Notamacropus eugenii: one gene and its partners. The protein of the gene in region 4 purifies or fractionates together with the protein of the main gene of each other region. This does not show direct contact. Links are inferred from orthologs where the notes say so. Each region holds a gene or a part of one and is shown on either strand. Other genes may lie near its edges.

What was found.
Region 1: the proteins of KPNA2 (region 4) and HECTD1 purify together in Homo sapiens (affinity purification with mass spectrometry; 3 studies listed by BioGRID, with this or other methods). This does not show direct contact. The link is inferred for Notamacropus eugenii from reciprocal best matches to the Homo sapiens genes KPNA2 and HECTD1.
Region 2: the proteins of KPNA2 (region 4) and NUP153 purify together in Homo sapiens (co-immunoprecipitation; 4 studies listed by BioGRID and IntAct, counting the BioPlex papers as one, with this or other methods). This does not show direct contact. The link is inferred for Notamacropus eugenii from reciprocal best matches to the Homo sapiens genes KPNA2 and NUP153.
Region 3: the proteins of KPNA2 (region 4) and KIFC1 purify together in Homo sapiens (co-immunoprecipitation; 4 studies listed by BioGRID and IntAct, with this or other methods). This does not show direct contact. The link is inferred for Notamacropus eugenii from reciprocal best matches to the Homo sapiens genes KPNA2 and KIFC1.

What each region holds. Positions count from the first base shown.
Region 1 is NC_092878.1:47,883,694-47,891,223, reverse strand, and holds the start of HECTD1 (E3 ubiquitin-protein ligase HECTD1), read left to right. Parts: upstream 1-4,263; 5' UTR 4,264-4,401; intron 4,402-5,698; 5' UTR 5,699-5,820; coding exon 5,821-5,960; intron 5,961-7,530. UniProt on the Homo sapiens protein: E3 ubiquitin-protein ligase which accepts ubiquitin from an E2 ubiquitin-conjugating enzyme in the form of a thioester and then directly transfers the ubiquitin to targeted substrates.
Region 2 is NC_092875.1:190,369,167-190,376,717, reverse strand, and holds the start of NUP153 (nuclear pore complex protein Nup153), read left to right. Parts: upstream 1-4,146; 5' UTR 4,147-4,215; coding exon 4,216-4,326; intron 4,327-7,551. UniProt on the Homo sapiens protein: Component of the nuclear pore complex (NPC), a complex required for the trafficking across the nuclear envelope. Functions as a scaffolding element in the nuclear phase of the NPC essential for normal nucleocytoplasmic transport of proteins and mRNAs.
Region 3 is NC_092873.1:89,398,668-89,406,785, forward strand, and holds the start of KIFC1 (kinesin-like protein KIFC1), read left to right. Parts: upstream 1-5,008; 5' UTR 5,009-5,052; coding exon 5,053-5,097; intron 5,098-6,362; coding exon 6,363-6,497; intron 6,498-6,787; coding exon 6,788-6,887; intron 6,888-7,142; coding exon 7,143-7,196; intron 7,197-7,439; coding exon 7,440-7,496; intron 7,497-7,713; coding exon 7,714-8,114; intron 8,115-8,118. UniProt on the Homo sapiens protein: Minus end-directed microtubule-dependent motor required for bipolar spindle formation. May contribute to movement of early endocytic vesicles. Regulates cilium formation and structure.
Region 4 is NC_092873.1:327,758,742-327,766,304, reverse strand, and holds the start of KPNA2 (importin subunit alpha-1), read left to right. Parts: upstream 1-4,451; 5' UTR 4,452-4,554; coding exon 4,555-4,721; intron 4,722-4,723; exon of another isoform or gene 4,724-5,041; intron 5,042-5,390; exon of another isoform or gene 5,391-5,705; intron 5,706-6,487; coding exon 6,488-6,599; intron 6,600-6,771; coding exon 6,772-6,909; intron 6,910-7,563.

The DNA of each region.
Region 1 (7,530 bases), on a different chromosome or scaffold from region 4:
TGTATTTAATAGGAATGTATGTGTAGAACTTCTATAAAATTGTATGCTGTCTTGGGGAAGGAGGGAGGAGGTGGAGGAAAGGAGGGAGGGGAAGAAAAAATCTAGGTTGTATGGTAGTGATTGTGGAACACTGAAAATAAATAAAATTTATAAAATAAAAGAAAATGTAAGTTTGGTATTTCCATGTAATGGCAGTGAGACTTATCTGAACTTGTATTTTCACCTAGAAAGGTGCTTTGTATACAGCCAGTACTCAAATGTTTGCCACTGAATTTACCAAGGAGGTGAAAGTTATCCTTCCCTTCTCTTTAGTTCTTTCCCTTCCCCCACAGAAAGTTGCCGGTAGTAAATTACACTTTTGAGAAGATACACTTTGACAGGTGCTTTGGTGATTGGAGCTTTCTCAGCTGATGCTCACCTTGCTGAACAGCACTCCCTTCTCCCCACACCAATTTTAAGGCTGCTTTACTGTGAGGTGTCCCAGGATGACTAAGACTTTTTTCCCCTACTGGATCTGTTTTTGAGATCACTTTATTCTAGAACTTTTAGAGTTAACATCCATGCATGGATATTTCCTCTTAATCTCTTCCATTATTATAGATCCATACAAGTATGTATGCTATTTAGTTCACCAGTCCGAAAGTGAAACATGTCACTGTCTTTATTATGTAAAGTTTACTGGAAAACTTATAAAGGGTCTTTCTCATGTAATGCTGGGCATCCTAGAGGAAAAATCAAAATGTATTTATTGATTAGCCCAGGGAGTATTACCTGAGCTTGAGGGGTCTAATATAGAGTCCTGACTCCAGGTCAGTGCCAGTATTAATGTAAATCATGTATGAAAAACTGTTTCTGACTGTTTGGATAGAACGGTACATTTCATTTCAATAGTGGTGTTTAGTCATTTTCCCCAGATGGTTAATATATAAACTTGCTTTGGCTATTTAGACAAGAGCTTAAATGAATGATTCCAGAGGGCCAAAAGAGCATCACCAGTTTACAGACTACAATTTTCAGTAAAACTTCCAGCATTTATGCAATGGTTCTATAAACTTCCTGTCCTCATTTTCTTTCTTTTTCCTATTAAATGGCACCATCATTCTCTTACATTCAACCCTGAAATAAGTAATTTTTGATTTCTGGCTGCTTCACCCTCTATATTCAATTCTCCTTTCTACCACCTGCCACCCAATCTCCCATCGTCTTATTGCAGTATTCTTTTCAACAGATGATTAGGTGGTGTCTCAATTGTTTCTTTATCTCGTCCCTCTCTATTTAAGATCCTAAAGCTTTGTCCTATTACCTCTTCAAGTTTGAACACTTCAGTTTGGCTTTTAAGCCCCTTTTTAATCTAGTTTCTCTCTTACCTTACATCGTGGGATTCTCTAAGACAAATCAGGCTGGTCTTCATACTATAAGCCCAACATCCAGGGGTGTGCTGGAGCTAGTTATAACTGGAAAAGCCCATTGTTAAATTTTGAGTGTGAGCATTTCCACCTCAGAATCAGCAATTGCTACACATCAGGGCTTGACTGATTGTTTTATTGATTACCTAGACTTAAGAAAGTGTTAATAATGCAGATTAAACTTAAAAGTGTGTGTATATATATACACACACATACATACACACATGTGTGTGTACTGTATGTATATATGTGTATGCATGTATGTATATGCACGTATATGCATATGTCTCACTCTCGTCCTTGGTTAAACATTAACCAGCACACATGTGTATAGCCCTACAAACATCTCTTGAACTCAGCAGGACTGGAAGCCTGGTAACTGTAGGTTCAGGAAAATAACAATAATTAGCATTTACATAGCTCTTTAAGATTTGCAAAGTGTCTTCCATCCATTGTCTTACCTGAACTTCACAACCTCCCTGCTACATCCCATGATAACTTCCATTTTCATGTCTTTCCTCAAGTTTTTCCCATTGTCTATTCAAATCCCAGCCCATCCTACAAGGTCTGCCTCTTTCATGAAGCCTTTTCTGATAATGCTGGTGGATTCTGATCTCCTTCTAATGAGAATCCACTTGTATTCTGGTTGTTTCCAGCAAGTGTAATGCTTGTCACTTGGTCTCCTGGCGCCCTTCTAATTAGACAAGGAAATGTTCTATCTTATTTGGAAAAGTTACCTGTGTAGCTGTGTTCTAAATGAGGGTCTGTGACTGCTCATTTAAAAATAATTAAACAGGCGCAGATCGTAGCAGAGAGCAGATAGATTAGTGCTTTTAAACTCAATGGACATTTATGAGTACCAACTATGTGTAAGGACCTGTGACAGGTGCTAGGCTCACAAAGAAAAAAATGAAATCATCTTACCTGAGCAGCCTCTCACTTGGAATCCCAGTTCAGCCACACAGGGGTCAATTTCCTCATTGTACAAAATGAATGGGGTGGATTAGGTGACTTCTGAAGTCCCTTATAGAGCTAAGATCCCATAGGATTAATTGGGATAACATTTTATTCCCCCATTTTAAATTAAACTTTAAATTAAAGGAAGGCATAGTTACACATTCTGGATCATAGCCCCCTCAAGTACATGAAATTCCTTTTGAGTAGGTGACTGGTCTTCATGAGAATAAAGTAAAAGGTTTCTGAAAAAAGTAATTCACCTCTGAGTCTCATAGTTGGGACATGGGTCTCCTTCCTCCCTTAGGAGGGAGAGGAAAAGTGCTTGCTCACTCACAGAGCACTACAGATCCAGTCTGGTGAGATTTCTGGTCTTGACTTGGCACCTTGTGTGTGTGTACATGGGCACAAAGAGGAAAAGTTGAGGAGCTTATCTTTAACCTTTTCCCTCTGCCACTGAGAAAAACGGGTTCTGACGAATCATTGTGCCAGCCACAAAAGACACTTTTTGGAAGGAAAATACACTGAAAAACCCCGTGGAGAGAACTGAGAAGGGAAAGGGAGAAGGCTAGGAAAAGGGAAGTAGCAGAGAAACCTTACAAAAAATTATTCCCAAACTTAAAAAAAACAACAAATGGGCTTGTCCATATGTGTGTACATGCATTTATATTATGTATATGTAGCTATGCACATATATGCTTATATATAGCTATACACACACATATAGCTATACACATATACACACATACACATATATACTATATATAGCTATACACGTATACACACACACACATATATACTACACACATATAACGCAGACACGTAGGATTCTGCACGAAGCTGGTCCTCAGGCCAAGCCCCCTTTTTAAGAAGTAACCAGCAACCTTGTATCCGCAGCTGGCCACGCCTACTAGTCAGTTTCTTTCTTAAAGCCTATTTCATTTCCACGCCCCATCAAAGGGGCGTTCCCACACGCGCAGCGCACGTGGCCCCGGCCCCCCCACCCCGCAGCTTCGTGGTCGAGGCTGTCACGCACCCCCTGGTAGCCCGGCAGGCCCACCTGCTCGTCTGCGCTTTTTGGGTAGAAAGCCCCCACTGCAATCCCGGGTGATTTCGGGCCCGTCCTGCGTGGAGACTGCGGGGCCTGGATCTGGGCCGGATGGGCGCTCCCGGGGCACACAAAGTCGTGTTTCTTTTCACGTCCCCAGGATCATTAATGCGCACACCTGTCACGTGGCAGGCGCTTCATGAATGGTGATTGATTGTTTGAACGGTTGTCACCTTTCCTTTTCACTGCAATAACCGCCTGCCGTGCCCCTGCCCCTGGCACCTCCCCCTCCCCCCCCACATGTTTCTTTCATGGCACAAGAGGACCTGGGCACAGCCGTGCGCAGAGTAGGAGGTTCGGGGACGACTGTGGCCGGATCCACCCCCAAGGAAACCTGGAGAGACCGGGGCACCTGCGAGAGCAGGGACAATTGCACGCGGGCGGGGACGGCCAACGCAGGACGGCGTCGCGGGCCGGTTGGCTCGGTGGTTGGCGGAGCGGGCAGCGTGCGGGCGGGAGCGAGTCTCCGCAGCGCCCCAGGTGGCCGCCTGTGGGAGTCGCCGCCGCCCGGGTGATTCAGAAGCGGCTCCGCCTCCGCTGGGCTCGGCGAGTCCGGCTGTCGCTCGCTCGGTGGTTTCCTGGCCCCGGTGTCGCTCCCTCCTCCTCCCTCCCTTCTCCTCGGCCCCCTCCCGGAGCACGATGGACGCGGGCCCCCCCCGCCGCCGTCGCCGCCGCCGCCCCAGCGCGGGCCTCTGAGCAGCGGGGCCCGAGGAGCCGCGTGTCCGCGGGGGGACGGACCCTGCCGGGGCTGCCGCCGCCTGGGGCTGGTGCGCGCTCGGCCGCTCGCTTCCGCTGTCACCGAGCCCCCTCCGGAGGAAGAGAAGCACGAAGGGCGGGGCTTTTCCTGCGGCGCCTGCCCGGCTCGACCCGCGCGGCCTACGGCTTCCCGCGAACTCGAGGACCGCAGCCGGGCCTGGCTCCGCCCGCGGCCTGGTACGGGGCGGACGGGAGTGGGAGCCCAGGCTGGGACTGGGGGAGGCCTGCGGCGGCGGAGATGGGCCGGTCGGCCCGGAGCGGGGCGGCTCTCGCTCTGTGGGGTGGGCGGGGAAGCTGAGCTCGGGGATCAGGTGCCCTAGCCCGGGCCCCGGGGAGGCAGCCCCCGCCACGATTCTTTGTTTCCCCCTTGCCCAGGACCCAGGAGGCGACCCGGAGCCGGCTGCCCTCTCTCTCGGCCCCTGGCTCCGGGGAAGCCCGCTTGCCCTTGAGAAGAGGCTCATCCCCTGGTCCCCTGAGAGACCGCGACCCTCGGGTCCTGGGGGGGCCCCCTCCCCCAGCCCTTCCTCCGCCTCGTCCCCCCTTTTTTGTTTTGCGGTAGGTGGGAGGCTTCTCCATTTTCTCTCCCGAAGTTATTCCCTCTCATTTCGGAGGACTTGGGACTAAACTTAAAAGTAGGGAGACACACCTAGAGACAGAGAGGAGAGGCTGTGGAGGGGGTGGGATGGAGAGAGAGGGAGACTGAGGCAGGCGGGGGGTTGGGAGGTGGGGAGCCTCTGTGTGCTGTCCGGCTGAGGCTGGCTTCTGGCTCGGGGGTGCACCGGGGCACATGTTGTCGGTTTCCTGCTCCCCCTCCCCCCGCGGCCCCCCGTTAGCCTACGTGGGACTGGAGAAATCTTCCCGTCGTGTCAGTTACAGAAACATCTGTAATTGACATGCTTTGCTGCCCTGTCCCGGAGCTTTATCTGCGGCGTGCCCCTGCCCCGAGAAGCCTGGCTTACCTATGCCAAGGCTTAACCTGTGTCTATCCAGCTTGGACTTCTCTTGTACTTTTGTAACTCCTGAAAACTTCCCCTGAATCCTCATTCAGGTCTTTATAGTCTGGCTTGATGGAACCCCTTTGGAATAGGTGCTTTTAAACTTAAACACCAACTTAAATAATTTTCTGAAATGTGAGGGAATTAGGAGATATTGAATCTGATGATCTTTTGCAGATCCTTTTGTAAAAAAAAAGAAAAAAAATTGGAATGTGCCAGTGGAAAAAAGGAAAGTTGTTTTGCCTTTTTGGCTTGGAATTCTTGGTAATAGCAATTGTTGGATCTGAAGCTTGTTTTACTGTCTTTGATAAAAGAAGCTTTCTGGTTAGGCAGCCACTTAATCTGCTTATGTTCAATGGCACAACTGGTTTGAATTTAGTGTAGTAAGGAATACTGAGTGGGAATGAAGAGGAAGACTGAATATTAAAGAACTGAATCATTTATTGTATTTTACTGATGAATCTTTTTTTAATTCCTAGGAGAAGACGTCAAAAATTTGATTGTAGCTGATGTGTTTTTGATGCTCACTGATCTGGCTTGGGCATTTTAAGGACCTTTTTTCCTTTACTTTTTAATTTAAGCAAAGAGGCTTTTAAAAACCATGGCAGATGTGGACCCTGATACATTGCTGGAATGGCTACAGATGGGGCAGGGAGATGAAAGGGACATGCAACTAATAGCCCTTGAACAGCTATGTATGCTGCTTTTGATGTCTGACAACGTGGATCGGTGTTTTGAAACGTAAGTAAAACCCTTCATCATCTTCCACTGGGGTTTCTGTAATGACATCTGTTTTCAAGCATGTCCTGACTTCAGGTTTTTAGAAATTTGCCTTCGGTTTTTTAAAATAAATTCTTTCCTACCATTTGAAAGTACCTCCAGGATTGTGGAGATGCATTTTTTTCTGAGCAACTGATAATCAATCATTCGGTGAAAGAATAACAGTGGTAATAATTGTGATTACATAATGACTCAATAGGAAATGATCATTTTTTTAGTTTGATTCATTTCCAGAATATGCCAAACATCAAAGAGAAGAATATAAATATTTCTTTTTATATGGCTATTTCTTGCCATAAAGTTGATCAAAAATTTTGAGCTTTTGTCCTTTTGTGGAGTCAAAACAAAAAGAAGGCTTTTAGCTTTCAGTTTGGAGCGTAAACATTGGATAGATGACATCTACCAGAGGTTTAGTTTTTGAAATGGTAATGACAGATTGGAAATGAAACAAAGTCTTCAACTTGTACTGGTATTCTAGCTTTTTTATCTAGGATATGAATTTGTGCCCAAACTTTGAAAATAAAACTGTATTAGAAATTGTGTTAAATGTATGGTTCCTGGTAACCTGATTGCTCTTGTGTTGAATTTTTGAATGAATTTACTTTAAGAATGTCATTCTTACTGGTTTATTGCTCAGAAGAGAGAGATTTGGAACTATTTGAATTTGACAGTTTCTTTATATTAGTTTCAAGTAAGGAGTGGAAAATAGGAAGATGTTGACTTAGATTTAACGTGCGTTTAAATTTACGTATTGCTGTGGGAATAAAGGTAGTATTATACATGTGATAAAGGTGTTTTGTTTGTCTTGATCTTTTGTTAGTTTGAGAAATACCATTGACAATGCCATTATTATGAAAAACTTTGTAAACCTGAGAAGGTTGCCAAATCTCTTCGGTGACTCATTCGTTTAAAGCTGTATTTAATAGGACAATCTCCTAGTACCACAAAAATAAGATACTTCCTTGGAGTTAATTGTATTTGGCTCATCTTAAAGTGATGATTTTGCATATATTTTTTGCTGAAAAGTGAGGTATTTTTCTTGTGACTTTAAGTATTTGACATTTTTTGCATGTGAAATGTTTGGCAGGCCCCAGAAGATCATTTTACCAGTATTGGAAACGTGCGTTATCATGGATTCTAGTAGTAGCATTGCATTGATTTTATGAGTACATTCTCCATTTCATGAAAAATGATGTTGATAGCCTTAAAACCTAGGGACAGGTTATTTAGAAAAATCTGGAATAGATGGGACCAGAGAACCCAGAACCAATAGCTTTATTTTATGTAGTATAATAGATTTCAAACTTTCATATAATATCAAAGATAGATGTCATCTAACTAAATTTTGTGAACTGCTACTTTTTAAAAATCTAAATTTTGACAGTGAATGTTTATTTACTATTAAAATAGTTCTCTGGTACCTTGTCATTTTCCTCCCTAGTCATTTCTGTATAAATAAATGATCCTTGCTTTTCAAAATTTGAAATTAAATTCAACAGACATTAAACACCTGCTGTTTACAAGGCATAAT
Region 2 (7,551 bases), on a different chromosome or scaffold from region 4:
AATTGTGAAAGAAATTTCCATATTTTAACATCCATTTAACTGAGTAACTGAGGAGCTTCCACCTAACCTTCAACTGAAGTGAGTACTCTGTAATGTAATGACATAATAAGGTTCTTTATCTAACGAAGAATCTAGTGAAATTCTATAAATGCCTTTCAACTGATGAATATACTCCATCAAAATCATATGTTTGTGGATTAATATCAGTATTTAGGGTAGAAAGACATTTTCAAGATGAAATAAATAAAATCTGATTATGAATCAGCATTTGCAAGCAATTCTGATGATAGGGAATACTATGAACTCAAATTAAACTAAATGTTATCCCCCTCACCCCCCAAAAAAGGAATTCCGTTCTTCTCATTAGTAGAACCATATTACCAAAAAAAAAAGTTATATTATACATGTCCAAAACAGAACTTATTTTTTTCCCTAAAACCTCCTCCCTCTAACCTTCCCTATTAATGAAGAGGGCAAAATCATCCTCCCAGGCCTTCAGACTCCCAACTTAGATGCCATCCTCAACATCCTTGCCCCACTCCCTACCTCCATATCCAGTCCTTTGCCAAGGCCTGTCAATTTCACCTTTGAACATGTCTCTAATGAGCTCCCTTCTCTCCTCTGACACCATCACCATTCTAGTAAAGGTCCTCATCACCTTGTGCCTGGACTCTTGTAATAGGCTATTGGTGGGTCTGCTTGCCTCAAGTCTTTCCCCACTGCAATCCATTTTTTAACCACCAAAGTGATTTTCCTAAAACACAGGTCCATCCACATCACTGCCCCTCTTCCCCCTGCCCCCACCCCCTCTCCCCTCCAGCAATAATCTTCAATAGTTCCCTATTACTTCCAGGATCAAATACAAAATGCTTTGTTTGGCATTCAAAGCTCTTCATAACCTAGTCCCCTCCTACCTTTCCAGTCTTCTTATACCTTATTCCCCTATATGTACCCTTCCATCCAGTGACACTGGTCTCCTTGCTGTTCCACAAAAAAGAACACATCATCTCTTGGTTCTGGGCATTCTCCCTCTCCTCCATGCCTGGAATGCTCTCCCCTCTCATTTCTACCTCCTGATTTCCCTGACTTTCTTTAATCCCCATCTAAAATCCCATCTTCTTCATAAAGCTTCTCTCAAATCCTCTTAATTCTTGGGCCTTCCCTCTGGGGATCATCCAATATATAGTTTGCTTGAATTTGTTATAGTCCCCATTAGAGGGTGAGTACCCTGAGGGTAGGGACTCTTTTGCCTCTTATCCCTAGGGTTTAGCACTGTGCCTTGCACACAGTAGGAACTTAAATAAGTGTTTACTGACTATTACATTTTGAATTTCATCAAAAGAATCTGTGGAAATTAGTTTTCTCTCTTGTTATACAAGTACCTACATAATATCCTCAATTTTACCTACTAGCCCACAAAGCCCAAAATATTTACTACCTAGCCTTTTATAGGACAAAATTTTCTGACTCCTATAACAGGTTAGAGACAGTCCCTGACATTAAAAAAAAAAAAAAGATAAGAAAAACCTGATAATATCATATCCCTTATACATGGTAGCCTCTTTGGAGGATGCCTTTCTGCTACCACATGAGTAGCTCATTCCCCATCTTAGCTTGCACTATACTAAGGAAGCCTATGGAAGATATTTTGGGGCTGAATCTTCCCAATATCTAAATACTTATATCTTCTCACTAGGAGATGGGGGTAGTTTCTCAAGGCCTGAAGTTCTGAGTTGGAACTTCTAACATTTTCTCATAAATGGTCATATGGTCAGATTCCCAGACCAGTCCACAAAAGGCCATTTAGCTGACTGGATACTATTTAAGTAACACACTTACAATTCCATTTCCTTCCACTGTCATGTGATTTTGATACTAAATAGAAACAGAACATCTGCCTGCAAATCATTAATTATGCCGCATTACACTCAAAGTTAAATAAATGGATTTCACTTTAGTTATAAGTTAAATGGATTTCATCTCCAAAATGAAGATAATTTTCCACAGAAAGCTAGAAGACAGTATTTATCATCAAGGATAATTTTTCATAACACAAATTCTCACTGCTGGGAGTCCCCAACTTGCAAACAAATGGTGTTCCAAAATTTTGTAAATCAGCCGTTTGGTGCTAAGAATTTAGTACCAGATTAGCTCACAAAAACCTATCTGAATCATAATGTTGCAGGTACTATTTCACAGAAAAGTGTTTTCAAAACAATAAGTTGTTTTCCTCCTCTGTCCCACAGATTTTACCTTTCTTTGCCTTTGTCTTCACTAATACTGACAAAGAAAAAGCAAGGGCTTGAAGATATTACCTCTCCCAGGTATTTCTTTTTGTTGCATAACTTTAAGAAATGTTTTTAATGAAGGAAATTCAATGGTTCAGGAGGCAACTTCTGTGATTTTCAAATCACAACGTTTCTTCCTTCCTTAAAAATTTCTTCATCGCTCTACTTACAAAATAATCTTTGTACAACCTCAGTTAAGTTACTTTGCCTTCCGGAAAAATGAGAAAAAATTTTGCTCCTTCAAAAATTGGATTTCTCCTGACATCAGCGAGAAAGGTGAAGATAAAGGCGTGGGAGAGCACTGAGGACAAGCTCTTCGCTTTTCAGTTCTGTCTGGCCTTGGAGGGGCGGTTCCACGCGTGACAGCGAACATCAGTTTCTCTGATGGTAGGGACGCAGATCCTGCTAGGGCTGGCCTGGTCCTGCAGACGAACGGTGAGCCCGGAAGCCTGTCAATGTCAACGTTGGTTACGCTTTAAGACTTAAGCTAAAGCCCCGTAAGGATCGCTCCGGCCGCCGACCCGGAGGGCCGTAAATAAGCTGTCCACTTTTAGGAGACGGTGAAAGTGATCACAGCTGGAAGAGGCCGGGGTCGAAATCTTAAACACACATTTTGTACCTATTTTAACTTTCTGGTCCTTCCCAGTCCTACGCTTCTTATTTTACGCGTTTAAAAACACTGTTCCGAAGAAGGATCTCTAGAGTGCCAAATAGTCCCGAACAACTCTGAACCCCGCCCCCCCAACTCGGATCTCATCCATCCCCTGCACTTCATGAACCAGGCCAAAGGAGGGGAGGTTACCAGACGGAGGTACGTCAGAGGCCGGCAGGGGATGACGGACGCGGGGGCTGCTTCCTTCCAGCGCCCTTTAGGCCCACGCTCAGAAGTGGGGAGGCCCCCGGCGGTAACGTGTCGGGAAAGTCCCCCGGGGGCAAGGAGAGTAAAAGGGAGAGTCTGGGAGGGGGGGAGGACCCCGCTCCCAGTAAAAAGCACGTGCGCGCTTCTGCTGAATCCGAGCCCCATGGAGAACACGCAAGAAGCTGGCGCCTCATTTTGTCCCAACAAACCCGGCCTCCTTCCCTCCCCCACCTCCAAACTCGGCGTTCCTCGGCCGGACTCTATTTCCCGTCAGCCCTACGCGCGGCGCGGGCCGGTTCAACCTTCTTTCCCTTCTCCTCTCGCTCACCCCGCCCCTCGGGTTCGGGCGCGGATCGATGACGCGCCGCACCCGGCGCGAGAGAGTGACGCCACTTTGGCTCGCGACGGCGGCGGTCGCTGCAGCAGCAATAGGAGCAAAAGCGGCAGCGACGGTAGCGACGGCGGCGGCTGAGAAGACTACGACGACGGCGACGGCGGCGGCGGGGCGGGCGCCAGGCGCGGGGGGGAGGGGTGGGCGGGAGGCACAGGCAGCAGCGGCTGAGGCGGCGGAAACAGCGAAAGGATCACCGCCCGGCGGTCGCGTTAGGCCCTAGCGGCGCCGGGAGCTGCGCGAGAGTCGAGAGCCCGCGCGCGCGCCGGCTTCCCCCCGGAGATCTCCATAGAGACCGTGACACGCACAGAGGCGGGTGCCCGCAGGCGGGCGGGCGGGCAGGCGGGCGGGCTGCGGGGCCCGGAGCAGGCGCCGCCGCCCCTTCTCCACCTCCTCCTCCCCTTCTCTTTCTCCTCTTCCTCTTCCCTCCCCCCTCCCTTCTCTTCCTCCCTCCTCCTCCCGCGCGCGCCCTCTCTCTCTCTCCCCCGTCGCCGGCCGGGCCTCGCGCTCCCTCTGGTGCCCGTGCCCCGGCGAGCGGGCCGGGCGGGCTCTTGGGCCGGGGCCGGGGGGTGGGGGGGCCGCTGAGGCCGCCGCCGCCGCCGCCGCCTCTCCCGCCCCTCCCCGCCCTCCCTCCCTCCCTTCCCCGCCCCGGAGCGGGAAGAGGCCGAGACTCCGCCATGGCCTCGGGAGCAGGAGGAGGGGGCGGCGGCGGCAAGATCCGGACGCGGCGCTGCCACCAGGGCCCGACCAAGCCCTACCCGCGGGGACGGCAGCAGCAGCAACAGCAGGTAAGGACGGGCTTCGGGGCGGGCCCGGCCTGGCTGCCGGGCGGCCGCGGCCTAGCTGAGCCCGGGGCTCAGACCCGACCCCCACGTTGGGCGCCCCCAGCCCTTCCCAGCCACCACCCAAACCGCCGGGGCCCCCCTCACCCGGGACCCCCGCACTGCCCCCACCAACGCCATCCCCGCAACATTCCTCCCCCGCTCCCCCTGGGCGCGCAGTGTCCGCCTCCTCTCACACACGTCTACACGTGCCATTGCTACCGTAGCATCCACGCTGCCCAACGCACAGCCCATTGTGCCCCCCCCCACCTCCGTGCGCCCCGCTTCCCGGCGCTCCCACTGTACTCTGCTCTTACCCAATACTGTCCCCCCAATTCCCCCTTTTCTCCAGGACATTTCTGTCTTGTCCAACACACAGTCTCACCATGCCCCCGTTCCCCAGTACAGTTCTGTCTTCCTCCGATACACCCCCCCACCACACAATACACCCCCTACTGTGCCCTCTTCTTCTTCAGGGTACTTGTGGCTTCTTCCATGACACACATCTGGCTTCGCGCACCAGAGGTCCCCCAACTCCTCCCTCCCGCTGTGCGCCCCTCTTCCCCAATACACGTCTGTCTTCCCCAACACACACCACATCTGTGCCCTTATCTTCCACAACACCCCCATCACACACTGTCCCCCAACTGTGTCCCTCAACTTACCCAACACACATCTGTCTTTCCCAAGATACATGCCCCCATACCTTGACTTCACTCAGCATACCCCCAACCAAAACCTATCTATCTTCCCTTACACATCCATCTTCCCTTAAAACACACTTACCTCCCCCTTATACACAAACACATACACCCACACTCAGTCTCATCTTCCATTATACAGGGTACTTAACTGACTCCCTACACATTACATCTCTACCACACACTCATTCCCTCATACACACCTTTCTTCCTTTACACATGCACACCCACATCTTCCACTTCATACATGCCTCTTCCCTTACACACCCACCTACATCTACTTCTACACAAAATGCATATCTTCCCTCACATGTGCACTCGTGCACACACATCCCCATATAACTGGGGCATGTGTGGGGTGGGGACCTCTGGAACCAGAGATGGGGTGAATTCAGCAGGCTAGTGTTGAAATAAATGTATATGTGGTAGGGCTACTGCCAGCCACTCCATCTCCTGATATGTATCTTGGTTTGGGGTATTCTGAGTGAATTAGTTAAAGGTTGTTTGTATTTCCAGACCTTGCTTCCTTTTTTTGGGGTAGAGGGAAGAGGGGTGTATGGGAGGGGTTGGATATTAGGGTAAAATCGGAAATTATCTCGGGTTCATTATGTCTTGTCAAGACTCCTAGAATAGAAAGGGAAGTAGAGGAAAAGACTGAATAAATTTGGTGCAATGGCTCACTTTCTACCCCCACATCTCTTGGGAGTGATGATTTTGTTTCATGTATTTGTTTTATTTGTACTTCAGTCCCCATTCTTTTAAAAGTCTAATTTAGATCTCATAAGAACCCAGGTCCACGTGGATCACCTTCTGGGGAAAGAGTTATAGTGACACTGGCAGTGGGTGCATTTTGAAAATCCCTCTTTTTATATGTGTCCTATATGGGTTGGCCTTTCCTCTGCCTTTACTTGTTTTGGAGTTTGGAATTGGTAGTTATCCAGAGGTGATCAAGACATGTGGTTTTGATTTCTGGTATACAGATTTTCATTTTGATGAGGATATTTAAAAGCTTGGGTTCTTTGCCATTTGTGGGGGAGAGTGACAAATAATATAGCCATTTTATATATATATATATATATATATATATATATATATACATATATATATATATATATATACACACATGTACATATATATATATAGTTGGCAGTTATTGGACAACCTTTGTAAAAGAAAATAATAGGGTAACTAAGCTATCTTAGAAATCACAGCTAGTTGATCCATAAAAAGTTACCAAGATAAATTCTTTTTTTTTTTGCTTGAAAGGAAGTTAATTAAGTTGGTTTAGTAAGTAATTTGCTATTTAATATACTAGTGAGTTGATTACATGAAATTTTAAATGACTCATGGTATCAGTACCTACTGTTGAAGTGATCAGAGTAATAATCAGATTATTATTCCAGATAATAAAAATAATTGGTATTTATATATTGCTTTAACATTTTCAAAGAAATACACATTTCACACATTCACACAAATGTATGTGATGTTATTTACTTTAGTTTCTTCATGACAGCTCTGACGGGATAGTACTAGAAGGTGGTGGAATAGATTTTACCCATTTTACAGAGGAGGAAACAAATTCAGAGGTTGTGACTTGCTGAACTCTAAGTCCTGTACTATCTATATACTATCCTACGTCTCAAATGATTTGGAATGCTAAGCTTATGTTTTATAACATTTCTTATGATTGAAAAACCTACAGATTATTTTCCTAAACACAGGTTTATAGAAACCAGGAATTTGGGGATATTACCAATTAGAAAGTTTATTTCTAATTATTATTGCTTCTTTCTAATTAAAGATTCACAGGTCTATGGAATTCCTCTTACCTCTAGTTTTTTCCCCTTAGGCATTTGCAGAAAATGCCTGATTGCCAAATATCTTGGAAGACCAGTGTGCTTTGTCAGGGAGTCTGAATTTTAATCCCCACTCAGAGGCCTCTAACTCACAGTTTGAGCATAGATAAATCTCTGAAATTGAGCCTTAGCCTCCTGTTCTATATACTAGGGAGAGGAATACTTAGATTGTGTTTTGATCAGAAGAAGGACTTGTGTGGATAAAATAAAACTGTGGTACTGAGAAAGATGTTACATAGGTGAACAAAATAATTATTCATTAATCTGTGTTAGTATTGATCAGACTATTTTAGGGAAGTAATGACACTACTGTGCTGTCAATCTTAAACAGAAACAGAGACCATTAATCTGTTCATAAGGAACCCTGAGGGTCACATCCTCACTTAGAAAACCAAATGTGTTTATAGGGGTTGGTTTTTTTTTTTTTCAATTAAAACATCAACATAACAAAATCAAATAGGAATTAAATTTTAATTTGAGTATTGTGGGCCTTGGGTTTGACATATCTGCTGTACAACACCAAAGGCAGATTTTTTCTTGGCAAATTTTGTCTTAAAATCACCAAAGCTAAACACATTTATGATATCTCAGAATAGTTAAGTAAAACAGTACAAAGATGTGATTTTATAATG
Region 3 (8,118 bases), about 240 Mb from region 4:
AAAAAGTCAGCACCCTGAACTTCAGAGAAAATACAGAGAAATCAAAATCAACAGACATGGCTTCCAACTATCTGACATAAGCAATACATCATAGATCAACAGACAGATCCAACTGTCTGACCATTACATACATACATAGTTACCATAGAGAGAAGCACCAACACCTAGGTTTTCAAAGCTGGGGGGCTGCTTAGCTGCTTACCAGTCTCATCTGGCACACAAACCTTCTTTCAAAAACTAAGCCCCAAAGTAAAACCACCCCTCAGAGTCTTTACACACTTTTTAGAGCCAGAGAGTATCAAAACCCTAGAGAACCAGTGCCTCATTAGAAAATTAACAAAAGGTGTGGGTCTCCCCTAATCAAGCTTCCCTTAATGGGTAGGCCCATTAAGGGGTGGGGCAGCTCTTTAATCTCATTAAGAAGCAAAATTATATTAACAATAAGCAAAAATGCATTCTCAATACAGAAAGGAAGTCAGGAAACATGGACTTTAGTATTGTTTATTCAACTAAGAGAGGTAACTAAAACATCTGAGATGAGCATGACCATGGCAGTACAGAGGACAGTTTGACTGGGGACAGGGTAGACTTGAGCTGAGATTCAAAGGCAGTTAGACCCTTGTCCCAAAGAATCAGGGTGGAAGTTGTGACTTGAGTAGGGGGCTGGGAGTGGGCCAGGGCTGTGAAGGGATAAGCCAGTAGATGAATGACTACATGACATTTTCAGACTCAGTTATCCCGGAAAGCCAGGAGCGTACTGGAGCCAGCTCATAGTGGTGGATGGGGACAGCCTATTGTTAAACTCTCAGGATGAGCATTTGAACCCCAGAAATCAGCAAAGTCTACAAATTAGGATTTGATTTGTTTTATTGATTGTCTAGACTTATGAAAGTGATGAAGTAAATGTTAATAATGCACATTAAACTTGAATGTGTATTTTTTCCCCAGCACATGAGTACCCTGAGAAAAAGCACCACTGTACCCAGCGGTAGCCCTCCAGCCACTAACTGGCTGCGACAGTTGGGCAAATTCAGTAATTAGTCATTAAATACCTACTCTCTGTGGGTCTTGGCTTTCTTCCTAAAAGGCAGCAGCTAGGTGGCGGGGGCCTGGGCCTGGAGTCAGGATGGCCCCCTTACCGCCCGTGTGACCCTGCCTCAGTTTCCTCATCTGTACAATGGGGGTGATGACGGTCGCCCCTGCCTCCCGGGGTGCTGTGAGGATAAAAATGAGGTGACTGCAAAGCCCTTAGCCCCGTGTTAACGACGATGAGGATGAAGAGGAAGGGCGGTGACGCGCTGCCCACGCCCAGACGGAGGCAGATCGCCGCGGGACGGGGCGTTCTCCCGCTGTTTTCCCTTCGGTCCGCTCTCTTCTTTCACAGCCTGCCTAAAGCGGCATACAGAAAACACGTTTAACACGGCTGCACACGGATAACCCACGTCTGCTGGCTTGCCGGAAGAGGAGGAGGGAAGGAGAAGGGCAGGGGGAGGGAGAAAAATCCGGAACTCAGAATCTTGTTTTAAAAATGAATGTTGGGGGAAAAAAAGGAAATGAAAGGCTCGGGGTGAGACAACTACCGGAAGGGCTCTAACAGCCTAGGAGCCAGTGACGTCACCACGCCCACCCGTCACCGACGCTAACGCGTTGGTTTTAGAGAGATCCCGTTAGGGCCGCGCCTAGAGACCCTACCTCCCGGTTCTGATGGGGCGGAGGTCAAGTTCTGCCTCCCCGGCCTATGACCTTGGGCAAGTCACTCCCCTCTCGGCACCCGTAGGCAGCCCTCTGACGACGGGGGGCACACGATACGCGTCAGTACCAGGCGCTCCCCGTGCTTGGGAAACCTAGATCGGCTTAACTCGGACCTTAGAGCTAATGCTTTTCATTGTTTCCACTCAGAGGAGCGCGCGGTCATGCCCCGCCCCACGAGGCGGGGTGGGATGGGTGGGCCACCTTTATAGGGCCGACACTTTACTCCCGTCACCGGCCGGCCAGCCGACCCTTCTTAGGTCTGCGCATGCGCTTGGTAGCCCGCGGATGCCGGCAGTGGGGGAGGGAGAAGTCGGAGCAGCTAGAGGGAGAGAGAATGAGGAGGGGCGGTTCCTAACGGAAAATAGAAGGGCCCTCTACCCAGCGCCCCGGGAAAGCCGAGGGGGCGTGTTCTCCACCGAGGCGGGGCGGGGAGAGATGGCCGGAGAGACGTTGCGATTGGTTCAGGGGTAGAGGAGGGATCTGTGATTGGCCACAAGCTGCTGGTGGGGTTTGGTTGGCTGGAGAGTCGCGGATTTGAATTTAAAAGGGTTAGGTGGCGCCGACGCCTGCGGATTGTGCGGGAGGCTGGGATGTTTGGAGATATAATTGGGGGTCCTAGAATGTGTATTGTTGGGTGGTAGGAGGGGGAATCCTCCTCGCCCCGCCCCCTCTCCCCTACGGCACCTTCCCTTCTCCCGCCTTGGGTCTTGACGGAACCGGAATAGGAGCAGCTGGTGAGTGAATGGGCCCGCGACTCGCGACTCCCGGGCTCGGGACTGGGGGGGAGGCTTGTCCACGGGGGCTCGTGGGAGCCCTCGCCGTAGGCCTGCCCTGGCCAGGGACCGGCCAAATCCCCATCCCCTTCTTCTCCCCTCCTCCCCCGCCGGCCAGGCCCCAGGTGTCTCAGGCGGGTCTCTGCAGAAATTGCCTCCCCCGTGACGTGTGTGTGAGGGTGCACACGTACTCTCGCTCGGGGTCCTTGGTAGTGAGGGAAGATCGGCCTTTTCCTGTCCCCTAACATTCCACTTGTCCTTTGGGAGAAGAGCTGAAACTGGAATCGGAGGAATGACTTTTGTTTTTAATTTAAAAAGGGGCTGGAGGGTATGCCCGGGTGCCGGCTTGCAGCAGGCGCTTAATAAATGCTTGTTGACTTCCCTTGTGGATCCGGGGCTTGCTTTTCTGCCGACGGCCAGTGAGCCAGTATGACGTCAGGCCAGTGACTTACCCTCTGGGACTCCCTGTTGTCTTCTGTTGAAGCAATTGAACTAGGTGGCCTCTAGGATCCTTTCCAGTTCTAGGTCAAAGGTTCTCCTTTGTGGTCTTTAAGAGGGCACCTCACCTGACAAACTGGATCCCATATGTAGAATTGGAAGTGACCTCAGAATTTCTCTAGGCTCTCATTTTATGAATGAGAAAATAGTGGTTAAGTGACTTGCCTGAGGTCTTACAAGCGACAAATATCCGGGTGAGGACATGAACCCAGGTATTCTGGCTCCTAATGTAGAGCTAGCTCCCTTCCCTCTGATTTAGAATGGGGGAGAGGGGCTGTTAACATATGAGCATATATATGATACTAGCACAAATTTCCCTTTTACCAGACCAAAGTGTCCTAAGTACAATACAGCTCGGTTTCAGCCCATGGGATTAATTTATGTTGTAGAGAAGATGAGGTGGTACGATTGAAACACAGGTGTCCGTTGGAGAGATCCCTAATATTGTCCATAGTCTGTTTTAACTGTGACAGCATATTTCATTGTTGGACAGCTTCAGTTGTTCCCTATTTAAACTGTATTCTGCCTCATAATTTTTGCAGAGAATTTTTTTCTCTAATCTACTTTTCATATATTTGAAAACTATCATATCTCCCCACTTTCTTTTCTTCAGGTAAACTACATCAAACTACTTCAACTGGAACTCGTATAATATGGTTTCTAGACTTCTAAAAATCTTGTTCTCATCCTAGCTTTCAATCATATCCTTAGCAAGCAACAAATACTGTTTGGAAGAGACCCTCTGAAATGTAAAGGAGAAAGACTCCATGCAGGGTTTCTTAAAGATCCTTTTTCAACTTAAGATAATGGGAATTGTGGGGTCACTGTGTCCTGAATTTCTAGCTGGAAGAATAACTCTAACTCCTTTATAACGGTATCATTTCTAATGCAGACTTTATCATCTACAAAGTACTTTATATATACATGCAAAATAAACCTGTTACTATTCACTTTGAATGTGAGCTGTATTGAAACCTTCATTGAGCACACTGCTGTGGACTGAAGCAAGCTGGGTGGTTTGGAGAAACCATTTATATATGGATTACCAAATTGTTTCAGTTATACTTTGCCCAAAGAATGAGAAGTTGATTATGTTAATATTTTTGAGAAGGTCTTAATCTTTCTTTTCATTGTTCTGAGGTAATAGGGTGATGTATTCATCTTGCCCTGTGACCTTTTTCCCAACCAATAGTCCTTTTTCTATGAGGACTGAATCCAGAAAGGGACCTTGGAGGAAGAAAGCCAATCAAATGAGATACGTGTAAATCAATTAGCACCATGTCTCAGTGTATAGTAGGAGCTTAATGAATATGCCTGTTTCCCTCCCCTTCTCCATTCCTACTGTTAACAACCCTAGGTCTAGCCCATTCATTTTATACCCAGATTATTATACTTGGTTCCTAACAGTCTTCACTCCCTCTAATCCATGATACTGTTAACAACCTCCCTAGCATATTCTTTGGTAAGTATTGGCCTCTACTCAAAAACCTCTAGTAGATTCCCTTTGTCTGTGGAATAAAACCCCAAACTCTTCAACCTTATATTCAATGCCTTCCTTATGATCTGGATCCTACCTGCCTAGGCATTTTAGCAGCCTGCCAGTTCAATGGCATTTACTATGTAATACTGCAGGAGAAAAAGACTAATGTGAATTTAGACTGCATCAATATATGTACAACATTAAGAACAAGTGAATTAATTGGAAGGGATCTCAGAGGCCATATTGTCCAATCCATACCTAAACAGGAATTGTTACTATCAAGCCCTTGCTCCAAGAACCATAATGATGGGAAATCTACCACCCAAGGCAGCCTATTTTAGTTAAAATTGTTAGTAAGTTTTGTCTTATGTGTGTGTTCGTCCTTCATTGCCGAAGAAGACCATGCCATCAGAGAAATGATGACATGACTTGCACTTGACTTTGTTTTGAGTGAGGGAGGGCTGTGCAGATCACCAGCCTCACTTCTCCTCCAGAGCCATCTGAATCCAGTGACCAGATATTCATCAGGATGACTCGAGATGACCCAGGATGAGGCAGTTGGGGTTAAGTGACTTGCCCAAAGTCACACAGCTAGTGAGTGTCAAGTGTCTGAGGTGAGATTTGAACTCAGGTCCTCCTGACTCCTGCACTGGTGCTCTAACTGCACCACCTAGCTACTCCAAGTTTTGTCTTATATCAAGCATGAATCTCCCTTTGCACTTTTAAGCATTACTTCCACATATATATTCTGCCTTATGTTTGGAGTTTTGTGTCTAGTTAGGAGTGCTACATTTAGGGGCATTGACAAATTCAAGTTTGCCCAGAATGGGGCAACCAGGATGGTGAAAATATTGGAGGCCATTCCATGTAATGATTAGTTGAAAGAAACAGGAATGTATAACCTGAAGAGGAAAAGACTTTGGGGTAGACATGAGAGCTGACTTAATTTAATAACCCCTTATTGCTTTGTGAAGGACTATTACACAGAAGAGGAATTACTCTTTTTTTTTTTAAACACCAGAGGACAGAAATAAGTGGTAGGTAAACATTATAAAAGAAAGTTCATTTTGGCTTAGTGTAAGGAAAAACTTTCCTAACCCTTAAAACATTAAAAAAAAAAACCCCCAAAAAAACCCCAAAAACAGGCTGCCCAAGGAGGTAGTTTTTCATCATCCATCCCATCACTTGAAATGGTTGAGTGGAGGACCACTTGCTAAGGATGTTGTAGAGGGAATTCCTGTTCATGTATTAGATTGGCCTATGTGATCTCGAGTATTTTCCAACTCTGGAGATTCTGCTTTTATCATACTTTGACTATCTCATTTAAAGCTATTACCCTGTATCTCAGCTCTAAACAACCTGGTTTACTCATTTCTTCTGTATAATGGTTTGGTTTTTTTTTTTTTTACTTCCTACATTTGCCCCTTACCTGGAATGCCCTCCAAGGCCCAACCCAAGTCCTATTTCCTTCATTAGGCCTTTCTTAAGCACCCTTAAGTTTGATAATTCTTCTGAACTCTTATAGCACTTCTTGTCTATACTATTCATTTAATATAGGATGAGAAGGTATGTGTTATGATATCTAGAGAGAACAGAATATAAAGAAGGAAAGAATACCAGAATATACATTAATATATCTGTCCCAATTCCTTAAGTAAATCATAAGCTCTTGAAAAACTGATTCTCATAACTTTTATGTGCAGGTTACCCAGTACGTTGTTCTGTGTGTGTAGTAAGCTTTCAATAGATATTTGCTTCTGATAACAAAAGGGAGGTAGTTAATAGAAATGTGAGGCGGTCAGGAAATGTGGGAGTGGCAGGGAAACCAGGAGGTCTGAGTGGCTTCCTTTTTCTTATAGAAGTTATCACTGATGGAAAAGGGGAACATGGAATTGAAGATGCCCCCGGACAAGGCCTCATCTTCTCAATTGCCTATGCTAGGCCGTGGTACAAAGAGAAGACTAGATAAAGAGAATGCCCCTGAGCCGGAGAAGGTGAGTTGGACTGTAGATATGTGAGAGCCTGGGCAGGGAGAAGAGAGAACTGGATTAGTTGAGAAGGGTGGGGAGCCCCAAGGGGGGTGGGTGGGAAAAAGTTCTCTAAAACTATCCTTTATATATATATTTATTTTTTCCACAGTTAAAGACAATATTCAACATTCTTTTCTTTTTTTAATTTTGAGTTCCAAGTTTTCTCTCTCTCTCCCACCTCCACCTTTCTGAGATGGTACAGTAAACAATTTGATATAGGTTGTACATGAAAACTTTACTTTCTCTTTCCTCAGAAGCGGATTCGAGGTCCTGGAACAGCAGTAACTATTGCCATCTCTCGTCCCAGGGTCTCCACTGTGGCCACTATGCCCAGGGCAAAAAAACAGGAAGCAGGTAAATAAAATACCTGTAGGTTTGACAGATGACAAAAGAATCCAGAGTTTCATCTTTCCTATTTCATGTAATTACATGACCAGAGTAATTCTGTCTTAGGTTATACGTGCAATAGGAGATGAACATGTCTGAGAGGAACGGGTATATTATCTCTTCAGAATAAGAGGTCAGCCCTAGGCTGGCTCTTATATTCTTTCCTGCATAGAAACTGCCCTGAGGATGCTCCCTATCACCTTCTTCCTTATCTCCTCGCAGCCCAGAAGGCTCCCCTAAAAACAGGACCTTGGCATACTACAACGGCCACCACAGGTGAGTAGGCATCAGTAGCTAGATCTCAGGGAAACAAGCACAAGTTGGAAAGGGAAGAATGATGGAGGGATTTGGCTGCCTGTGAATCTGAGCTTGATCTCAGCTCTGCAGCTTATGTCTTAGGTGAACTTTGGCAAGGTAAACCTCTGGACCATAGTTTGCTCTGTAAAATGAAAGAGTCGGTCACTATCAGCTCCAAATTAATTGATGTTATTGAAATTATTATCTCTTATCTTTGTACAGATGTGAAGAATAGGAAGCCAGTCTCTGCAGTCTCTACTGTCTCTGCACCAAAACCTGGTAAGTGGCTAATCTAATCCCTCAGGTTAGGCAATGTACCACTTACAGAGGGAATAGCAGTTGTACTGAGTGCTCTACAAAAACCATTAGCCCATTTCTGTCTCCCCTGTGAGATAAAAAGGAGGGAATGGGAGTTAATGGTGTTTGTTGCTCACTGAAAGGAGAAGAGAAAGGAGCTAGAGTTTTCATTCGCCTTGCTACTCTTTCCCATACCTAGTATCAAGAATGTCCCCTACAAAAACAAGGAAAGGATCTAGCAAGCGTCCAGCCTGGGATGTGAAGGGACAACTGTGTGACTTACGGAAGGAGTTCAGTGCCTGCCAGGTACAGACTGAGGTTCTAACCAGGGAGAACCAGGAACTCAGGAGCCAGTTTGGGCAAGCTGATCAACAAGCCAAAACTCTGGAGGCTGAGAACAAGGTGTTGATTGGGGATCTGACGGAGACTCGGGCCCAAGCTAAGCAAGACCAGCTGGAGCTGGGGAAGTTGAGGGCTCAGGTCCAGGAGCTGGAAGCACTTCTGCATACTCAGAAGGGCCTAGTTCAGTCATTGCAAGAAGAGCGGTTACAGTTGCAAGAAGAACGAAGGGATCTGGCTGCTCGGCTAGAGGTACAGGAGGTGA
Region 4 (7,563 bases):
AAATGGTCAGACAGGTGTGTGTGTTCGTCCTTTGTTGCCGAAGAAGACCACGCCATCAGAGAAATAATGACATGACTTGCACTTGACTGTTTTTTGAGTGAGGGAGGGCTGGGCAGATAGGTAAGGTTTGTATGGATGAAATGGCAGGGGCTGGAGTGGAGACTGCAGGTCAAATAGCAAAATCATTGAAAAGCAATCAATCAAACAACAAACATTTTATTAAACTCTTGCTATGTGCTAGGCATTAAGTTCTGGGGATACAAAAACATAAGAAATTTGGGCCTATGGGGCTGTGGACAACAAAAGTAAAATTAGAGAACATGGTAGAAATGGATTTCATTGGTTTTAAATTTGGATTTTTTTTTCAGAAATATTCAGTTACCCCTTAGTTAAGAACAGAAGTCATCTAATTGTCATCTGTGTTGCATTCAAGACTACACATCATATTACCAGAAGAAATGGAGAAAGTGATAGAGGTACATCTTGGGTGGCAGAGTACAGGAAAAATGAAGCAAGGTGTCAAGTATCGGGACAGAGATAACCAAGAACCTTGATCATGGGATTCTTAAGGGAGACAAAATCACCCAGTGGCCTGAGGAGGGGCAGCCAACCAGAGTTCTGAGACCATTGAATCCTACTGGTACTCTGAGAACAGATAAAAGTAGAAGTCAGCAGAAGAAACCAAAGAAAACAGCTAGGACCAAACAGAGCCAGAACATGACATCTAAGTATATGGGAGTTTGCAGAACTTGACCCTTGCACTAAGTCACAATTTAGGAAATAAGACTGGAAAAATGAATAAATACTGATAGAAAATTATGATGGAGCCAGGAGATGTTTAAGATATAAACCCCAAAATGAATAATTCCACATGGTCTACATGCAAAGACTTCAAAGCAAATCAAAGATTTGCCACGTGCTCTTCTGGAATTTCTGAAATAAATGAACCAAGAACTTTCTCTCCAAATCATTTTTACACGGATTTATAATCTATCCTTCTCACTAATGATCACTACCTTTCATTAAACAAACAAAAACCCTAATAATAAGAATTAACAATTCAGCAAAACAAATTCCCACATTGACCATGCCCCCAAAATGTATGTTTTCCTGTGCATTTTAAGTTCATAACCACTCTGTTGTATCCTTTTATCATTAATTGACTGGACTCCAGGTTTATTTTTGCGTCAATTAGAATTCTAAGGTCTTTCAAAGTTGTTTTTCTCTACAATATTTCTGTCATATAAATCATTCTCTTAGGTCTGCCCACTTTGTATTACTTCATAGAGGTCTCCCTAGTTTCCTTGAAATTTTCTTTTATTATTTATTATGGCATAGTAATCTTCTACTACCTTCCTATATCACAGTTTGTTTACCCATTCCCCAACAAGACAGCCCCTAAGTTTCCAATAGGAACCACTACTTTGAAAAGAGCTCCTATAAATATTTTTGTACATATAGGTTCTTTTCCTCTTTGAGGTATTGGCCTAGTAGTGGTATAGCTGGGTCAAGGGGTATACACAGTTAATAACTTTTGGGGCATAGTTCCAAATTGCTTTCTAGAATGGCTGGACTAGTTCACACATCTACGAGCATTAGTATGCCTATTTTTCTGGAAGCCTCCATTTGTCATTTTCCTTTTTTCTCATCTTTGCCAGTCTACTGGGTATGAAGTGAAACCTCAGTTTCTTAAATTAGCATTTCTATAATTTTAGTGATATAGAGCATTTTTTCATATGGTTGTTGGTACCTTGGATTTCTTTCTTTTAAAATTGCCTATTCATCTTTTGACCATTTTTCTTGAGACATGGCTCTTAGTTTTATAGATTTGTATAAATTCCTCATCTAGCTAGGATTTGAGACTTTTATCAGAGAAATATGCTGCAAAGTTTCTTTCTCAATCACATTTCTCTTGTAATTTTAACTATATTAATTTTGTTTGCACCAAAACTGTCCATTTTATCTTGTGTGATCTTTTCTATTGCTTGTTTAGTCATGAACTCTTCCACTCTGCATAGATCTGAAAGGTAATTTCTTTCTTCTCTAATTCATGATTTGACCAAATGTTACATTTAGATCATGTAATCATCATTTGGAGTGTTATCTTGGCATATGGTATGTGGTACTGATCCAAACCTAATTTCCATCATACTGCTATCTAGTTTTGGTTTTTTAATTATTTTTTAGTTTTAACATTCACTTCCATAAGATTTTGAGTTCCCTCCCTTTCCCGCCACCCCAAGATGGTGTGCATTCTGATTATCCCTTCCCCTACTCTGCCCTCCCTTCTAAAACAGCCCCCATCCCCTTCTACTTTATTGTATAGTGCAAGATAGATTTCTATACCCCATTGTCTGTATATTGCTAGCTAGTTTTACTAGCAGTTTTTGTCAAACAGTGATTCTAAAGCAAAAGTTTAAAAATGATCATATAAATAAGAGCTTTAGAGTTAAGAATAGGAAAAGGAATGGGAACTCTAGAGAAAAGAACTTAGTAGAACAGTTTAATACAAGAAGTATAAAATCTTACTCAGTAACAGAATCCTTGAAAATTAGATTTGATCATAGACACCGGTGACTCCATGAGATAACAAATAAATACTAGAATTTAAAATCAAAAGACTGTAAAACTATCCAATATCATCTGCCTCATTTTCCTCAACTATAAAATGGGGATAATAGCACCTACCTTGCACAGTTATCGTGAGCATCAAATGAGATATTTTTAGAGCACTTACAAAGTAGCCCAGCACTTAATAAATGCTTGTTTCTTTGCCCTTCTTTATGCAATAGGTCTAAAATCTTGGGTATAAGTATGCTCCAAAATGGTTTGGCAACAATGATTTGGTAAAAATCCAAATGATTCAATGAAATTTGAAAATAGTTGTGACATTTTCAAGTTTTCAGAGGTGGCAAATGGCAGAGCTTGACTTAAGATCCAAGGCTTTCCCCTTTACTTTTATAACAGCTGTGTGAGAACTTGTGGTCTCTTAGTGGTAATTTCAACACCTTTATTGGTTCAAAAATTAAGAAACAATGAGTTAAAATTGTAATTGAGTTCCACTACAGTCATATTAATAGCATTTGGTTTGGATTTAATTTGTGCTATATAGGCACATTAATGTAGCCAACTCCTGGGTGAGGAAAGGCCGACCAATATAACAAGTTAGAGCCTTAAAGGTACTTAGAGCACTGAGAGGTTTACTTGTCACACAGCCGGTAGGTCTTCCTGGCTTCTAGGCAGGTTCCCTATCCACTATCAAAATTAAGAACTAAGAATTGTTTTGGACTAGATGACCTCTGGAGGCTTTGTACTGAGGTGGGAGAGAGAGAGTAATACCAGGAAAATGCCATAGTGGAGTCACTATCCAGGAGAGGGTGAGTGTTAAATGCCGCAGAGATATTCAAGTCACCTCTCTGTTGGACAACGTCCTAGTTACTGTGGCAATACCTATGACTGTCGGGATTTTCTTTACAATCTCAAATGAAAGATTTTTATTTGAAAGTTAATTGCCTCATTCCGTTTTGGCTTTGGAAGATCAGGCAACAGCACTTTTCAAAGTGTGGTCTTTGAGTCCAAGTTCCTTAAAGAGTCCCTTAAAGTCAAAACTGTTTTCATAATAATACTAATACTACTATACTACTAATAATAATAATACTAAAACATTTATTTGGCTATTAAAATGCCCCTCCCTTTTCCAACTACATATTTATGTAGTATGAACTTCAAACAAATCAATATAATGCAACAATCTGAAGACAAAAGCAGATATGAGAATCCAGCTGTCTTCAATTAAGCCAGACATTAAAGAGATTTGCAACATTATGTAGAACGGCCCGTCTTCTCAGAAAATGTATGGGAAAAGTTATTTTTCATATAAAAAATTCTTAATGTTCACATTTCCAAATGAACTAAACACTTAAAAATTTAATTTCTAATACAATAAATATCCATAAATATTACAGCAAAAAGTTTTGGGGGTCCTTGGGAAATTAAGGTCCTTCAGATCAAAAAGTTAGAGGCCTCCTACAACACAGCATCTATTGTAGCTGCCCCCCAAAAAATACAAATTGAAGATTTTCTAAAACGAAAAAATTCGAAATCTCCTACAATCTAAGAGACGAGACCTCCCTGAAGCAAGCACGTGGAAAACAATCATTTGTCCAAGCTGCCCATAGAAACTATTTTAAAATATTTTTTGCACGTTTAGCACTGGTCCGGGCACACAGCGACAACTTAATCTTTGCCATGGACTTGACGATAAATCGCAGAGCTCCCCAAAATCGAAGAGTGTGCACAGATCTCACTGATTAAGAATGAAGGCCCTCCGCCATCCCAGCACTTGGAGACATTAAAACATCCCTCTACCAAAGCATGGCTGCAAAGACTTCTGGGATGTATACGCAGGTTTTGCTCTCCCCTCATCTCACGAGAACTCTTCCCTTCTCCACTCCCCCGCCCTCTCGCTCGACTACTCCCTCTGCAGGCTCCATCTTGGGACCACCCAGCCTCGTGTTTTTCAAATCCACCAATGGTCGCGTTGCTTGGGCTCGAATGAGCCAATGGGAGCTCCGGACCGCCGGGAAATTTAAATCGCGCCGGAGGGCCTCACGCGCCACACGGCTTTCGGGGCTGAGCTGCGGTGGTTGCTGGAAGTCTAACCGTGACGCAGCTGCGACCTCCTCTCGCTTCCCCTACGGGGCCCGGCGACCTCCTACAACGTGAGTTCTTTTCTCTCGCCCGTCGAGAGCGGAGACTAGGCCGGCCGGAAACGGTTGACTCCGAGGCTGTCGGGAGGGAGGGGTGTGGGAGAATCGCCTGTTGCTCTCCAGGCCTCGTGGGGGAGGGCCTGGTTGGGGCCCTGGGCCTCGGGCCGCGCTCGGGCGCGTCCCCGCGGTGGCAGCGGCAGCGTTCCCGAACCCGGCTCCTCTGGGTCACTCTGCCGAGGGCGGCCGGTGGCAGCGGAGGTCCGAGATCGGCCTCTGTTACTTCAACCGCTCCCCCCGCCTGGGCTGCGGAGTGAGAGTGTGCGAGAGCGCGCGTGCGTGTGTAGCCGAGTTTATTTGGGGAAGGGGGGCACGCTGCAGAGGAGTGGGCTTCCCACGACCCTCGGCCCAAGCGTGACGTGTTCTTTTCCTCGGATCTCCGGGCCTATCTGCTAGATGGGCCGCCGCCCGCCGCCCTCCCCCTCCCCCTCCCCCGACAACCGGGATGCCCAGGCCTTTGTGTCTAGCGGTGTCGCCTCCCCCGAGCTTCTCCGACGACAGCGCTTAGGGCCCAGCTGGTCTCTGGGAGCGGGGTGCGGAGGGAAGGTGGGGGAGGGGAGGGCTCCTGAATATTCTCTTTCTCCCACCCAGCGTCTGGTTTAGGGAAGGGTCGGAAGTACTAACCTTGCGGCCTGCCCAGGGCGTGAAGTCTGTGTTGGTTCCTGAGGTTCAGTGACAACTAAGCCACACCTTGGGCCCGCCACCCTGGGCCCTGACTGTAATCCGTGCTGTATTTAGTGGGCTCTTACTAAATACCGGCCTCGCCCCCAGCTCAGGAAAGGAGCCCCTCACTCTCTTCGTTTTCTCGGCTTCTAATCAATCCCACCTTAAAGAGATTTTTCCTGCCTTCCATCTAAAAAAATGATCTATCATTATCGATGCTGAACAGGCAGCTGGTTGTTGTCGTCTTCCCATTAAGACCTGCACTCCTTGAGGACCGAAATTGTATTTTTGCCTTTTTAATATCCGTAGCACTTAGCGTACTGCCTGGCACATAGTGAGTGCTTAATCAGTAACGTCATGAAGTAATTGATAGATCGCATCTGGAAGGTCTTGATTGTAACTGCTTACACCTTTGTGTTTGCAATTAAGCTGCGAGAGGACCCTTAATGTTAAACCTTAAATATTGTCTTTCTCTAAAGGACATGTCATAGCTAGGTAGGAGCAAATTGATGCTTGCCAACTTTAAATTCTTGAATTGTTTTAAAAATTAAATTTGAAATGTCATTTGTTTGGGGAAACGTCCAAAAATTTACTAAAATTGTACTGTTATGACTACTTAAATGAAATAGAATAATATTTTGGTGTAAGGGACATTTAATGGAGAGACTGGCTAGGGTTTAATTGCTGGCAGCTTATCACTTAGCTGTCAGTTAACAAGCATTTATTAAGAGGTTACTGTGTACCAGGTAGGCATTGAGCTAAGCTGTGCTTAATATAGATTTATTGTGAACTGGAGTACTTCATAGTTTTAATGCATATAGTTTGCTGGCTATGCTGTGGTTCCTATTGAATGGTACATTCTTTGTCTGGTAACCACAAGTAGAAAAATGAAGCAAGCATGTAGAAATATTTATAATATATAATATGATACTTTGGTAGTTGACATATTGCTATGTTAGTGCTGGTTTTTTCCTTTGGTTGAAGTAATAATTACTGTTTAATACAATAAAATCCTGTTGGATTTCTTATAAGGCATCGAAATTTCTTTTTTGTTTCAGTTCCCTCTTTGCTTTTCTCCCAGTGTTGAACACAACCATGTCCACCAATGAAAATGCTAATTCACCAGCTGCCCGGCTTAATAGATTTAAGAACAAAGGAAAAGACAGCACAGTGAGTAGTAGCCTTAATCTTGTTATTTTCTAGATAATTTTTTTGGGTGGAGGAGAAAGGAGAGTTCTTGGATGCTGAAATGAATTTAAAGGCAACCTAAATTTGTCTTAGATAATTCAGAAGATGATTGTGGATAAAAAACCAAAAACACTTTGATTTTATTTTCCTCAAGGAAATGAGGCGCCGGCGTATTGAAGTGAACGTAGAACTGAGGAAAGCTAAAAAAGATGACCAGATGCTGAAAAGAAGAAATGTCAGCACTTTTCCTGATGATGCTACTTCTCCTCTGCAAGAAAACCGAAATAACCAGGTAAATTCTCCGTTTCTTAATTCCAGCAGATTTTGCACATATGATGTTTATTCTTTGGAGTTTGTTTATATAATCTGTAAATCTTCAGAAAAGACTTATACCCTGTATGAATTGGCCTATGATTGTTCCTGAAACCTAGACATTCTTACTTCTTGAAGTAGCAGGCTTGATATGACAGAAAATGGTTTCAGTAACTGGCTGTTGAGGGATAGTGTAATCCTTTTGTCACCCTGTATTAACCTCATCTTTGTTTTTTTAGTTTGTTTTTTTGATAGTCCCTTTCCCAACATCTGTGGGAAAGTGTTTCATCTCTCTACTTTTTGCCCTATTTTCTTTTGGGTAGGGTGGGCAGGAGTTGGGAGATTATAGCCACTTAACTACTCTCTACCTCTAGTAGAATGTTGTCAAACAGATCTGTAAGATACTTTGAAAAATCATATTACTCTAATATTTCCATTGCCCTTCTTGGGGCGGGGTACAAACTTTGGGCATGTAAGATTTTTCAGACCAAAATAATTCTTATTACCTGTCCCGTATCCTGTTTCTTCATGCCATCCATAAATTTTTTAAATGGTGGTCATAATTTCCTCTGAGTTCATGGTAACTGTTCCATATTCTGATGACCCCTGATAATGTATATCTTCTTTTTTGTGC